Arabidopsis thaliana: one gene and its partner. The protein of the gene in region 1 interacts with the protein of each later gene in a pairwise test. Each region holds a gene or a part of one and is shown in the gene's direction. Other genes may lie near its edges. The genes, in order: AT3G01360 and AT2G24170.

Region 1 (4,813 bases):
GTGTCTAAATGAAGCTAAAATCAGGTGAAACCAAGCTTACCTAAAGCAAAATGACAAGGGAGTGGTCTACCAAGTCTCCTTATTGTGGTCATTTCATCATCAGTTAGTTTTGGACTGACGCCATATGGAAGAAGGCGAAATGGTCTCCTGTAGTCAGGTACTACGGCTGGCAGAAGATCACCATCTACGGGAAGGGGATCATATGCCCACCAGTCAGTAAATCTTGGACCCAATCCTTCCAACAAACGGTCTGCTTCTTCTACAAGCTGTACTTCCCCGGGTAATTGAAACCTAACCTTATCCGGAGAACCAACGCCTTGCGTCAACATCGGTTTAACCATTTTATTAGTAATACTCGGGGCAGAAGATTCTGCAATACTCTGTTTCTCTCTACTATCAACCACTCCTTGATCCATAGATGATGCTCCTGAAGCAGCTTCATGTGCCAAATCCCGATCAGATACAAAATAAGGGTACTGATAATTTACCCCTCTATACAACAATATTTTGCTTCCAGACCTCCAAATGACTAAGCCTCCAGTTTTTGTCTGTAAAATCAACCAGGACAAGTATGAATTTCCGTCTGTGCCATTTGTTGACATGTTCATAGATCTTTCATTGAGAGTCAAATGTTACTATCAAATCCCTATCATGAAATCAAAAGTAGAGAGGCAAACAAACCTCCAAGACGTCATGGGTCCGTTTCATGTTCATTCTGGAAATATCTTCGCAGAAAATCTTCACAACCTCCGTCGTCCTCCATCTCTCGTGAATCCCATTCACAATCCCTTCCGTAATCCCAGCCTTGCCAATCTTCAGCTTCTTCGTCAACCTAATCCCCACCGTCCTCAACCGCCTCAGCTCCGCCGGCGGCAATGTCAATTCCGCCAACGACGGAACCTTCTCCTCCTTCTTCCTCTCCATCTCCGTTTCCTTCTTCCACACTCTCTTCAACTCATGGTACCTTGAAATGGCAGTACCCGACCCGGGCTTCGGAACCGGGTAACTAGGCGTGCTCCAGCTTGTGTCAATCGTGTGCCCGACCCGGTGAATCGGAAGCTGCTTAGGCAACGGAACGAATATCTCTCCTGGGGAATTCTTACCAGATTCTTCTCCCGTGATTCTCCTAGTCGGTGAATCATGCTTCTCTTCCACGAATCCAAGGCTACGAAGCTTCTCAGCGATTCTCTGGATAGCCGATTGGGGAAGAGTCTTTCGACCGGAAGCAGAACTACAGAAGATGCCGGAGTTCGCTCGACTGACATTGCGTCGCGAAACTAGGGTGTTGGGAACAAGGAATGGCGGGAAAATTCGATCGGGAAAGGTTTTGGCAAGTATCAATGGTTGCTGGTGAAACAGTGGAAGCAACATTTCTCCAAGCAAACTGGATTACGCAAGCGGAGCTATATGCAGCAGCAGCATATCCATAGAGGTCACATGATTGTCACGTGATGGTTAGAATATTTAAACATGAACTATTTGAAGACCCCAGTAGGCCCATATTGAGTTATTGGGCTACTAGCCTATCCCATTTTGGGTTATTCGGGTCGGGTCGGATCTTTCCGGTTTATCAGATCAGAAGCTCGATTCTGTTAAGCTTTAATGGCGGAAAAATCCAAATTTCCTCGAAAGAAGTATAACCTGATTCGCAGAGATTGTGAAGATTGGAGTCATGGGTATATTAAGTTACGCCGTCGCCGGCGGTGGATTTGCAGTAATCGGCGCGTGGGAGTCACTGGACTCATCGAACCTGGATCCGAATTCATCTTCTGGTACTGCTGATTCATCTTCCCCTATGGCTCAGATCAGAGCTTCGCCGCCAAAATCTGTTGGATCATCTTCCATCCCCGTAGCTTTGCTTTCGTCTCTGTTTATTGCGAACTCGTTTTTCTCCTTCTTCAGCTCAATCGGATCTCGCGATCGGGTCGGGTCAATGATCCAGTTACAGATCGTGGCAGTGGCAGTACTATTCCTATATTACGCCATTCTAACATATCTGGTCAACTCCAAAAACGCTGTCTTTGTTGCACTTCCGTCTTCGATTACAACTTTATTGCTTCTCTTTGGCTTCATTGAGGAGTTCTTAATGTTCTACCTGCAAAAGAAAGATGTTTCTGGAATCGAGAATCGTTATTACGATCTCATGCTCGTGCCCATTGCCATCTGCGTCTTCTCCACGGTTTTTGAGCTCAAATCCGACTCTAGCACGCATCGGTTTGCGAAATTAGGTCGTGGGATCGGTCTGATTCTGCAAGGAACATGGTTTCTGCAAATGGGTGTATCGTTTTTTACCGGTTTGATCACTAATAACTGTACGTTTCACGAGAAGAGCAGAGGCAATTTCACGATCAAGTGCAAAGGACACGGTGATTATCACCGAGCAAAAGCTATAGCTACTCTTCAATTTAACTGTCATTTGGCTCTAATGGTAGTTGTGGCTACTGGTTTGTTCTCTGTCATTGCTAACAAGAATGGTTATCTCCGTCAAGATCATTCTAAATATCGACCTCTCGGAGCTGAGTTGGAGAATTTAAGTACTTTCACACTTGACTCTGATGAAGAAGACGAGGTTCGAGAAGAGAGCAACGTAGCTAAAGAAGTTGGTCTCAATGGAAACAGCTCACATGATTAAAGGTATAAATCAAAGTTTCAGACTTTTTTTTTTTTGTCTGTTTTGAATCTGTCCATTTTAGAAATGTTGTTGGTCAATGGGAGGATTAATGATGATATGTAATCAAACACACGAGATAATAATAATGTTGAATCTTTTGCATTTGATATTATAAGATACTGTTTCTTATGAATAAAAATCTTACAGTTGTCTATCTCTTTTGGTTTGCTAGTTAGTTCTAAAGCTACTACTACAGTTAGATCATTCGTGGAATCTTATGGCAAACGGTTATCTAAGTCGACTGTGTCAAAGGAATCAAAGTTTTTCTTCTTTCATTTAGGGGCTTCTTCTTTTTCATCGCCTTGATCACTGCTACTCTTGAAAAACTTGCATAGAAATATGTAGACTACAAAGCTTATTGTACTTGTAAGAGCAAGAAGCCAGTAGTATTTGTCAAGCCGAGCTTCCGACATATCATCTGCAAACCAGTTTTGTCGGTCACCTGTTGAGCTCGAGTAAGCCTCGACAATTGAGATCAGTGCGGCGCTCACAAAGCTTCCAACACCAAAAACACTTGTGTAGAGAGCAAATCCCATTGTTCTCATTCTTACAGGAACCTCACTGTAGAAAAACTCTTGCATCCCAACGACTGTGAATATATCTGAGATTCCCAAGAGGATGTACTGAGGCAGCAGCCAGAAGATGCTCAGTGGGACGGTTTCTGGATCATAATCAGGTAAAGTCTTCATCTTTTGGCTTATGGCTAGTCTTTTCCTTTCGACTATTGCCGCAATAACAATGGCAATGATGGATAGAAACATTCCGACTCCCATTCTCTCCATCACAGAGATACCTGTACCGTTTTTCTTGATTCTCTTGGTAATAGGTATCAAAATCTTATCATATAATGGCATAAGCAGGATGATTGATAATGTGATCGTGCTTTGCAGGGTTGCAGGTGGGATTTTGAAGTTGGACCCAATGTTTCTCTTCATAGTCACACCTTGTTTGGTGAAAAAGGTTGCTGGTAGCTGGAAGATAACCGCGAACATGAGAAGCATCATCCATATGGGGAAAAGGCGAATCACTAACTTAACATTATCAATTCCAGAGAAAACCGTTTTCGAGCTCTCGTCATCTTCCAATCCTTTGGAGGTTGTTGAAGGAGTCTCAATGTCTTCGGTCTCACATTTACAGAGAGGCCTCTCCTCTAGCCTACATAAACAGGTAATCATTAGTCGCTAAAAAACTTAAAAGACTAATTAGTTTCATGAGATATCGTGGTTTTTCCGAACTTACTCAAGCTCCATAGCATCCAAATCTTTCTCATCTGCAAGTGTATATATGCTTCTCTGCTTCACTACTCTCCCTTTAATGAATTTAAGAATCTTCTCAAAAGGTGTAGTAGTTGTTTTCTTCTTCAGACGGGCGCCCGGAGCATAAACATAAATTCCACAACCCGACATGAACACCAAAATCGACAGGAATATCACGATACCAGGAATGGCGAAACCGAGAACCCAACCAAAAGTGTCTTGAATATAAGCCATGACTGTGACACCCATAAGGCTGCCGGTGCAGACGCCAAAGTACCACAATTGGAAAAACTGAGTCTTTCGGGTAGCTTTCGCGTCCTTTTGATCACCCGAGGAAAGATCGAAATTCTTATCGAGGTCGTGGTCGAGTTGGTCTGCACCAAAGGCTTGAAGAGAAGGGTTTAAGACGCCTAAACCGATTGAGACAAGACATAGTGAAGAGTAGAGAAAGTAAGAAGAGATAGTCTTAGTAGCTGAACGTGACCCAGCAAATGCCGTCCATGTCAATCCCACTAGTCCCTTCAAAGAAAAAACAGAAATAATATATTAAAAACTACTAACAAAAGAAGATTTTCGAGTTTCCACTAAGCTAGCTTTTTCGCCTATAAGATCCGATAAGACCCATTATAAGCACTATATCAACATTCTAATCAAAATTCCATTATCAACCCAACTATTAAAGGGATCCATATAAACTCCATTAGTGGTAAAAGAAAATTTCTAATCGGACGGTGACCAAGTATCTAATTTCTTAAAGACTCTTTAAGATGGTCTACTTGATCTATTCCTTAACTCGGAAAATGACCCAACACCTAACTTATAACTTCCTTAGATATATCGTCTAAACCAGTTTTTCTTGCACAAGTTAATACCCATTATCAGTTTA
Region 2 (5,747 bases), on another chromosome or scaffold:
CTTGTAATGGTAAGTTATTTGTGAATACACATCCATGATTAGATGTTTTATTTTTGTTTGATTGATTCGCAAGTAGTGACTAGTTTTGTATTTTGTTACTGATATGATTCGTTTGACTCCGAGTATTTTAGATCTAATAATCTGGAATATCAGAAAGTCATTAAGTTGAAAAATGCTAAATCTAAACGACAACAAGCTAACAATGAACCAAAAGGACCTAAAAAACTGGAAAGAAAACTAAGAGATGAAATAGGAGCACCTAAGCCACATAGAAAAAAGGTGAATGAACCAGAAACATTTAAAACCCAAAGAAAAAAGGGTGATGAAGCAGAAGCATATAAAACAGAAAGAAAAAAAAAGTTTGATGAAATTGAAGAAAAAAAGTCTGTCTTCATGTTCGTTGCACTCGTCGTGAACCCCGAACCTCAAATGATTTAAAGATTAAAAAAGTATTAGACTGCTTTCGATAATTCCTTCTTAGTTCTATGAAACACTATAATCTATTTAGACTACCTCAGCGTATCAATATTTTTTTCTTGTATAGAATATCCAATCACGACCAATCGAATTTCATCAATCTATAAGAATGCCATTCTCATGCAATTTTTCTCTTATAGCCAACATGCTCATGCAATTTTGATTATTTACTTAAATAAATAAATAAATAGAAGTTTATATAAGTGTCAATAATAAGCTTAACCTTGAGATTCTTTGAGAAACGTTGCATTTATAGAAGAATTTGTCAGTAATTCTAGTAAGATACGAGCAATCAATTGGTATTTTTGATTGTTACTTCTCTCATCTCACAAGTTTGAATGGTTACGGCAGTTAAGATGGATAAATCCGTCAATGGTTTAATCCGAACTATTTTTAAAGTAGACAACAAACCGTCGCAACCAACTCTATTTATATGTAAAAACGGTATGTGGTTGATCCGCATCAGTTTTCTTTTTTAAATCCACACAGAAGTAATTTGTGAAATGGTAAATAAAACGTGGTCAAATACACAAACGAATTTGTCCACCTTAACCACAACAATCATTTAGACCCTAAAATTGATAATAAATGGACAAGTGAACATAGAAAATATGGCAATTTATGTTATTTTAGACAATCGAAGCGATTATTTAGGCGTTACCTGAGAGTCTAGTGCCTAGATAGAGTGTAAACGACCGCCTAGACCATTTTTTATAATACTGAACTTTTGTAATCATTTATTTCGGAGGTGGTGCACACGACAATGCCTACATTACTCGTGAAAACTATATTATACCTCAGAATACCAAAGTCCATGTTCCCGATCCCAATATCATCAAAGAGTTGGCCCATATCAAATGCTATGTTAATTTTTCTTATCTTTTCAAATTATTCTAATGTTGTGTTGCCAACGACTGCTTTTACTTTATAATAGAATAGAAATAATAGAAGTTAGTTTCCGCGATTACTATTATATGCTTACATTTATACCGGACTAGTTATCTCCAGAAGAAAACCGTCCGTTTTCAATTTGAAAACAGTCTGTAAAAGAAAGACTTACATTTATCTAATGCGGATTTGTATTGTGTGTGTGTGTGCTTTTTTCTTACATGTATTTATTGGTAATGTACATTTAATTATATGTCAAGGTGGTTGCTGGTGTGTGTAAGGTTTCATAATCTGCTAGAATAGTTAAGAGGTCACCTTCATTTACCAAATGGATTTTGTCTTCTAATTGATTTAAATCCATTTTTTTCTTTTATTCTTTGAATACTTTTTCATAATTATTTCGTATCCTCCACACTAACTCATTTCTACTTTGCTACATTTACAAGTTTCATCTAATCTACTTAAATTAACAAAAAAAAAAAAAAATTGTTTCCTTATTTAAAAATTAGATTTCTCGTAAATTGGACTTTGATTTTAATTATTGTCTATTCAAAGTTTTATTTTTTTACCTTAAAAAGTGTTGACTTTGATATTTCATTACCTTAAGAAGAAGAATCACCGACAGCTCCAACTTAGGAAATCTCAACCGTTGATTAAATCAAACGAGATACTAAAATATCCAACGGCCATAAATCGTCCAATTGCCATGTTTCTTCCCACTCTCTTCTCCTTCATTTAAGAAATTTCACTCTCCGAAGAAGAAGACGAAATCGAGCAAATCCATGGCGAAAGTTCGGATTTTGATCTTCACCCTTGTCTTATTCTTCTCCCTCAATGTCCATATCCATGGATTTTACCTTCCCGGCGTCGCTCCACAAGATTTCCAAATGGTCAGCCACATAAAATCATCTCTGTATCTGTATTTCACAAATGCAGCTTCTTCTTAGAGCTTTGATTCACACTGGGTCTAGATTTTTTTCTGATTTAGATCCAACGCAATCGATCAAGTAATCTTGTTAAAATTGGATCTATGGCTCTGTTTTATGAGATTTGGGTAATTTTGATCTTCAGTTACCACTGAGTGTTGTGTTTAAAGAGAATGTTTCATTAGTCTATATGTATTAGCCATTGTTTAGACTTGTTTCTGTGTGAATCTAGCTTTTGGAGTAGAAGAATGTATAATGGTCATTATCTATAAAGGTTCAAACTTTGGAGTTATGGTTTTGTTTTTCAGGGAGATGCATTGATGGTGAAAGTTAATAAATTGACATCTACAAAGACTCAGCTTCCATATTCCTATTATTCTCTTCCTTATTGTCGTCCAGAACATATTGTTGATAGTGCTGAGAATCTCGGTGAAGTTCTTCGTGGTGATCGAATTGAGAACTCTCCTTTTGTGGTATGTTCTTGTTTCTTCTTGGTTCTTTCTCTATCTGTCTTGGTTAAGTGGTAGTTGTTGAGTTGTTTTTAATGTCTGTTTGTTTCTTTGTTGCAGTTTAAAATGAGGGAATCGCAGATGTGTGCTGCGGTTTGTCGTGTGAAGCTTGATAAGAAAACCGCAAAGGCGTTTAAGGAGAAGATTGCTGATGAATATCGAGTTAACATGTGAGGAGATTGATTTTGTCGCCTTCGACTGAATGTGTTTTGTTTTTCTTCTGTTTTTATGAGGAAGATTGATTTCTTATGCAGGATTTTGGACAACCTTCCCCTAGTTGTTCCGGTGCAAAGGCCAGATCAGGACAATGTTGTAGTGTATCAGCATGGTTTCCATGTTGGTCTCAAGGGAATCTTTGCTGGCGTAAGAGCTCATCATCACCTTTTCTGAATATGTTTCAATGGAAAGAGTTCTTATTTATTTGATTTTCTTGTAGAAAAAGGAGGAGAAGTATTTTATCCACAACCACTTGACCTTCACTGTTAGGTATCACAGAGATATACAGACCGATTCTTCAAGAATCGTTGGCTTTGAAGTCAAGCCGTTCAGGTAGCTTTTTGTGATTTAAGGACTTTGACTCTGTATTGTGTAAGCGACTAACATCTACTGATTTTATCTCGATGCAGTGTCAAACATGAATATGAAGGTCAATGGAATGAAAAGGCTCGGTTAACGACTTGTGATCCGCATACAAAGCGTGCAGTCACTAACTCTGAGTCTCCTCAGGAGGTTGAAGAAGGGAACGAGATTATCTTCACATATGATGTTGACTTCCAGGAAAGTGAGGTGAAATGGGCGTCTAGGTGGGACACTTACCTTCTAATGGCTGATGATCAGATTCATTGGTTCTCAATCGTTAATTCTATGATGATTGTTCTTTTCCTCTCTGGTATGGTCGCTATGATCATGCTAAGAACACTCTACCGAGATATTTCCAACTACAATCAGTTAGAGAGTCATGAAGAGGCCCTCGAAGAGACGGGTTGGAAATTGGTACACGGAGATGTTTTCAGACCGCCAACAAACCCGGAGTTGCTTTGTGTTTATGCAGGCACTGGAGTTCAATGCTTTGGAATGATTCTTGTCACCATGATCTTTGCTTGTCTTGGCTTTTTATCTCCTTCAAACCGTGGTGGTCTTATGACGGCTATGCTTTTGCTTTGGGTTTTCATGGGACTATTGGCAGGATACGCGTCTTCACGCCTCTACAAGACGTTAAGAGGAACCGAATGGAAAAGAAACGCTCTGAAAACCGCATTCATGTTTCCCGCTACCGTCTTTGTCGCCTTCTTTGTCCTTAATGCGATAATCTGGGGACAAAAATCATCCGGTGCAGTCCCATTTGGTACAATGTTTGCTTTGGTTGTCCTCTGGTTTGGTATCTCTGTTCCACTTGTTTTCATCGGTGGCTACATTGGTTTCAGAAAACCTGCACCGGAAGATCCAGTGAAAACCAACAAGATCCCGCGGCAGATCCCAACACAGGCCTGGTACATGAACCCAATCTTCTCCATTTTGATTGGAGGCATTCTCCCATTTGGCGCAGTCTTCATCGAGCTCTTCTTCATACTCACCTCAATATGGCTACATCAGTTCTACTACATATTCGGCTTCCTCTTCATCGTCTTCATCATTTTGATCATCACTTGCGCAGAGATCACGGTCGTCCTCTGTTATTTTCAGCTGTGTAGTGAAGACTATCAATGGTGGTGGAGATCTTACTTAACATCAGGCTCTTCCGCGGTTTACCTCTTTCTTTACGCAGTCTTTTACTTCTACACCAAACTTGAGATCACAAAGCTCGTCTCTGCAGTGCTCTACTTTGGGTACATGCTCATAGTTTCATACGTATTCTTCGTCTTTACTGGTGCAATTGGTTTCTACGCATGCTTTTGGTTCACCAGGCTTATCTACTCTTCGGTTAAAATCGATTGATCTTTAATCACCTTCTTAGTAAGCTGTATCTTAAATCTTGTTCTTTTTCGTTCTTTTGTTTCCTCCTTTTAAATTTTGTGATGATTTTGAGATATGTAGACATAAACTTTTATTTTATTGTAAACATACATAGAGCTCAAGAGTACAACAATTGTCTCATAATAACAGCAACTTGTCACACACTTTTATCAGCAATCTCAGTTTTTATTTCTTCCATTCTTAGTAGATTAGAAACTAAGTTTGTTACTACTGCAAGGTCATACAGTTTACATTTTTTTAATAACTGTTTCTAATCGACAATTTTTTTTTGGAATTCATGAAACTGCGTACCTCATGTTTTTAGGAACATAGTTTTCAGAATATTAAAAATGAAATAAAAAATAATGAACTCGATCGACAAGGTCAAGTCAAGATAGTATGTGGTAGATAAACAAAAACAAAAAGAAACGTATGTGGTGGATAATTTAGAATTGAATGAGTCAATCAGTAGTCTATATGGACCAGTGGCACAAATCACTGAGCAGAGATGCATGAAGAATTAGGAGGATAAGAAGTCCGACGAGTTCACACGATAGATTGTTCTCGAAGTCAAGAACTAAACTCCAGAAGTGTTTTTATTTTCCTTTTTTCTTATTAAAGGCATACTCAGAAGCCATAGTCATAACCTATTACTTACCACACACTGCACACACATACACACAGAAAGTAATTATGAGTCCACAACAATCTTATTGCTTTTCTGGTGTTACGTTGTATTCCTTCTTTTTGGTTTTCTTTGTTCTACACACATTTGCTTCTCCTACGCTTCACTATTGCCGCCATGACCAAAGGGATGCTCTTTAAGAGTTCAAACACGAGTTTCCGATCAATCAATCCAAGCTAGATCCTTATTTTGCATCATTAAGTTTATGGAACAAGAGCAGTGATTGTTGTTATTGGAAGGGTGTCAAGTGCGATGCTAAGTCTGGCAAGGTGATTTCACTTTACCTTAATTACGTCTTTCTCAACAACT

The links.
Region 2: the proteins of AT3G01360 (region 1) and AT2G24170 interact in a protein complementation assay, tested with the Arabidopsis thaliana proteins (one large-scale study listed by BioGRID).

The regions. Positions count from the first base shown.
Region 1 is NC_003074.8:135,591-140,403, reverse strand, and holds AT3G01360 (plant viral-response family protein (DUF716)), read left to right. Parts: upstream 1-1,672; coding exon 1,673-2,632; 3' UTR 2,633-2,634; exon of another isoform or gene 2,635-2,810; intron 2,811-2,843; 3' UTR 2,844-2,943; coding exon of another isoform or gene 2,944-3,826; 3' UTR 3,827-3,910; downstream 3,911-4,813. Other genes in the region: CFM2 (CRM family member 2), read right to left, coding at 41-548, 682-1,371; AT3G01350 (Major facilitator superfamily protein), read right to left, coding at 2,944-3,826, 3,911-4,446.
Region 2 is NC_003071.7:10,273,295-10,279,041, reverse strand, and holds AT2G24170 (Endomembrane protein 70 protein family), read left to right. Parts: upstream 1-1,775; 5' UTR 1,776-1,853; intron 1,854-1,920; 5' UTR 1,921-2,147; coding exon 2,148-2,255; intron 2,256-2,599; coding exon 2,600-2,764; intron 2,765-2,860; coding exon 2,861-2,970; intron 2,971-3,054; coding exon 3,055-3,163; intron 3,164-3,236; coding exon 3,237-3,349; intron 3,350-3,426; coding exon 3,427-4,735; 3' UTR 4,736-4,943; downstream 4,944-5,747.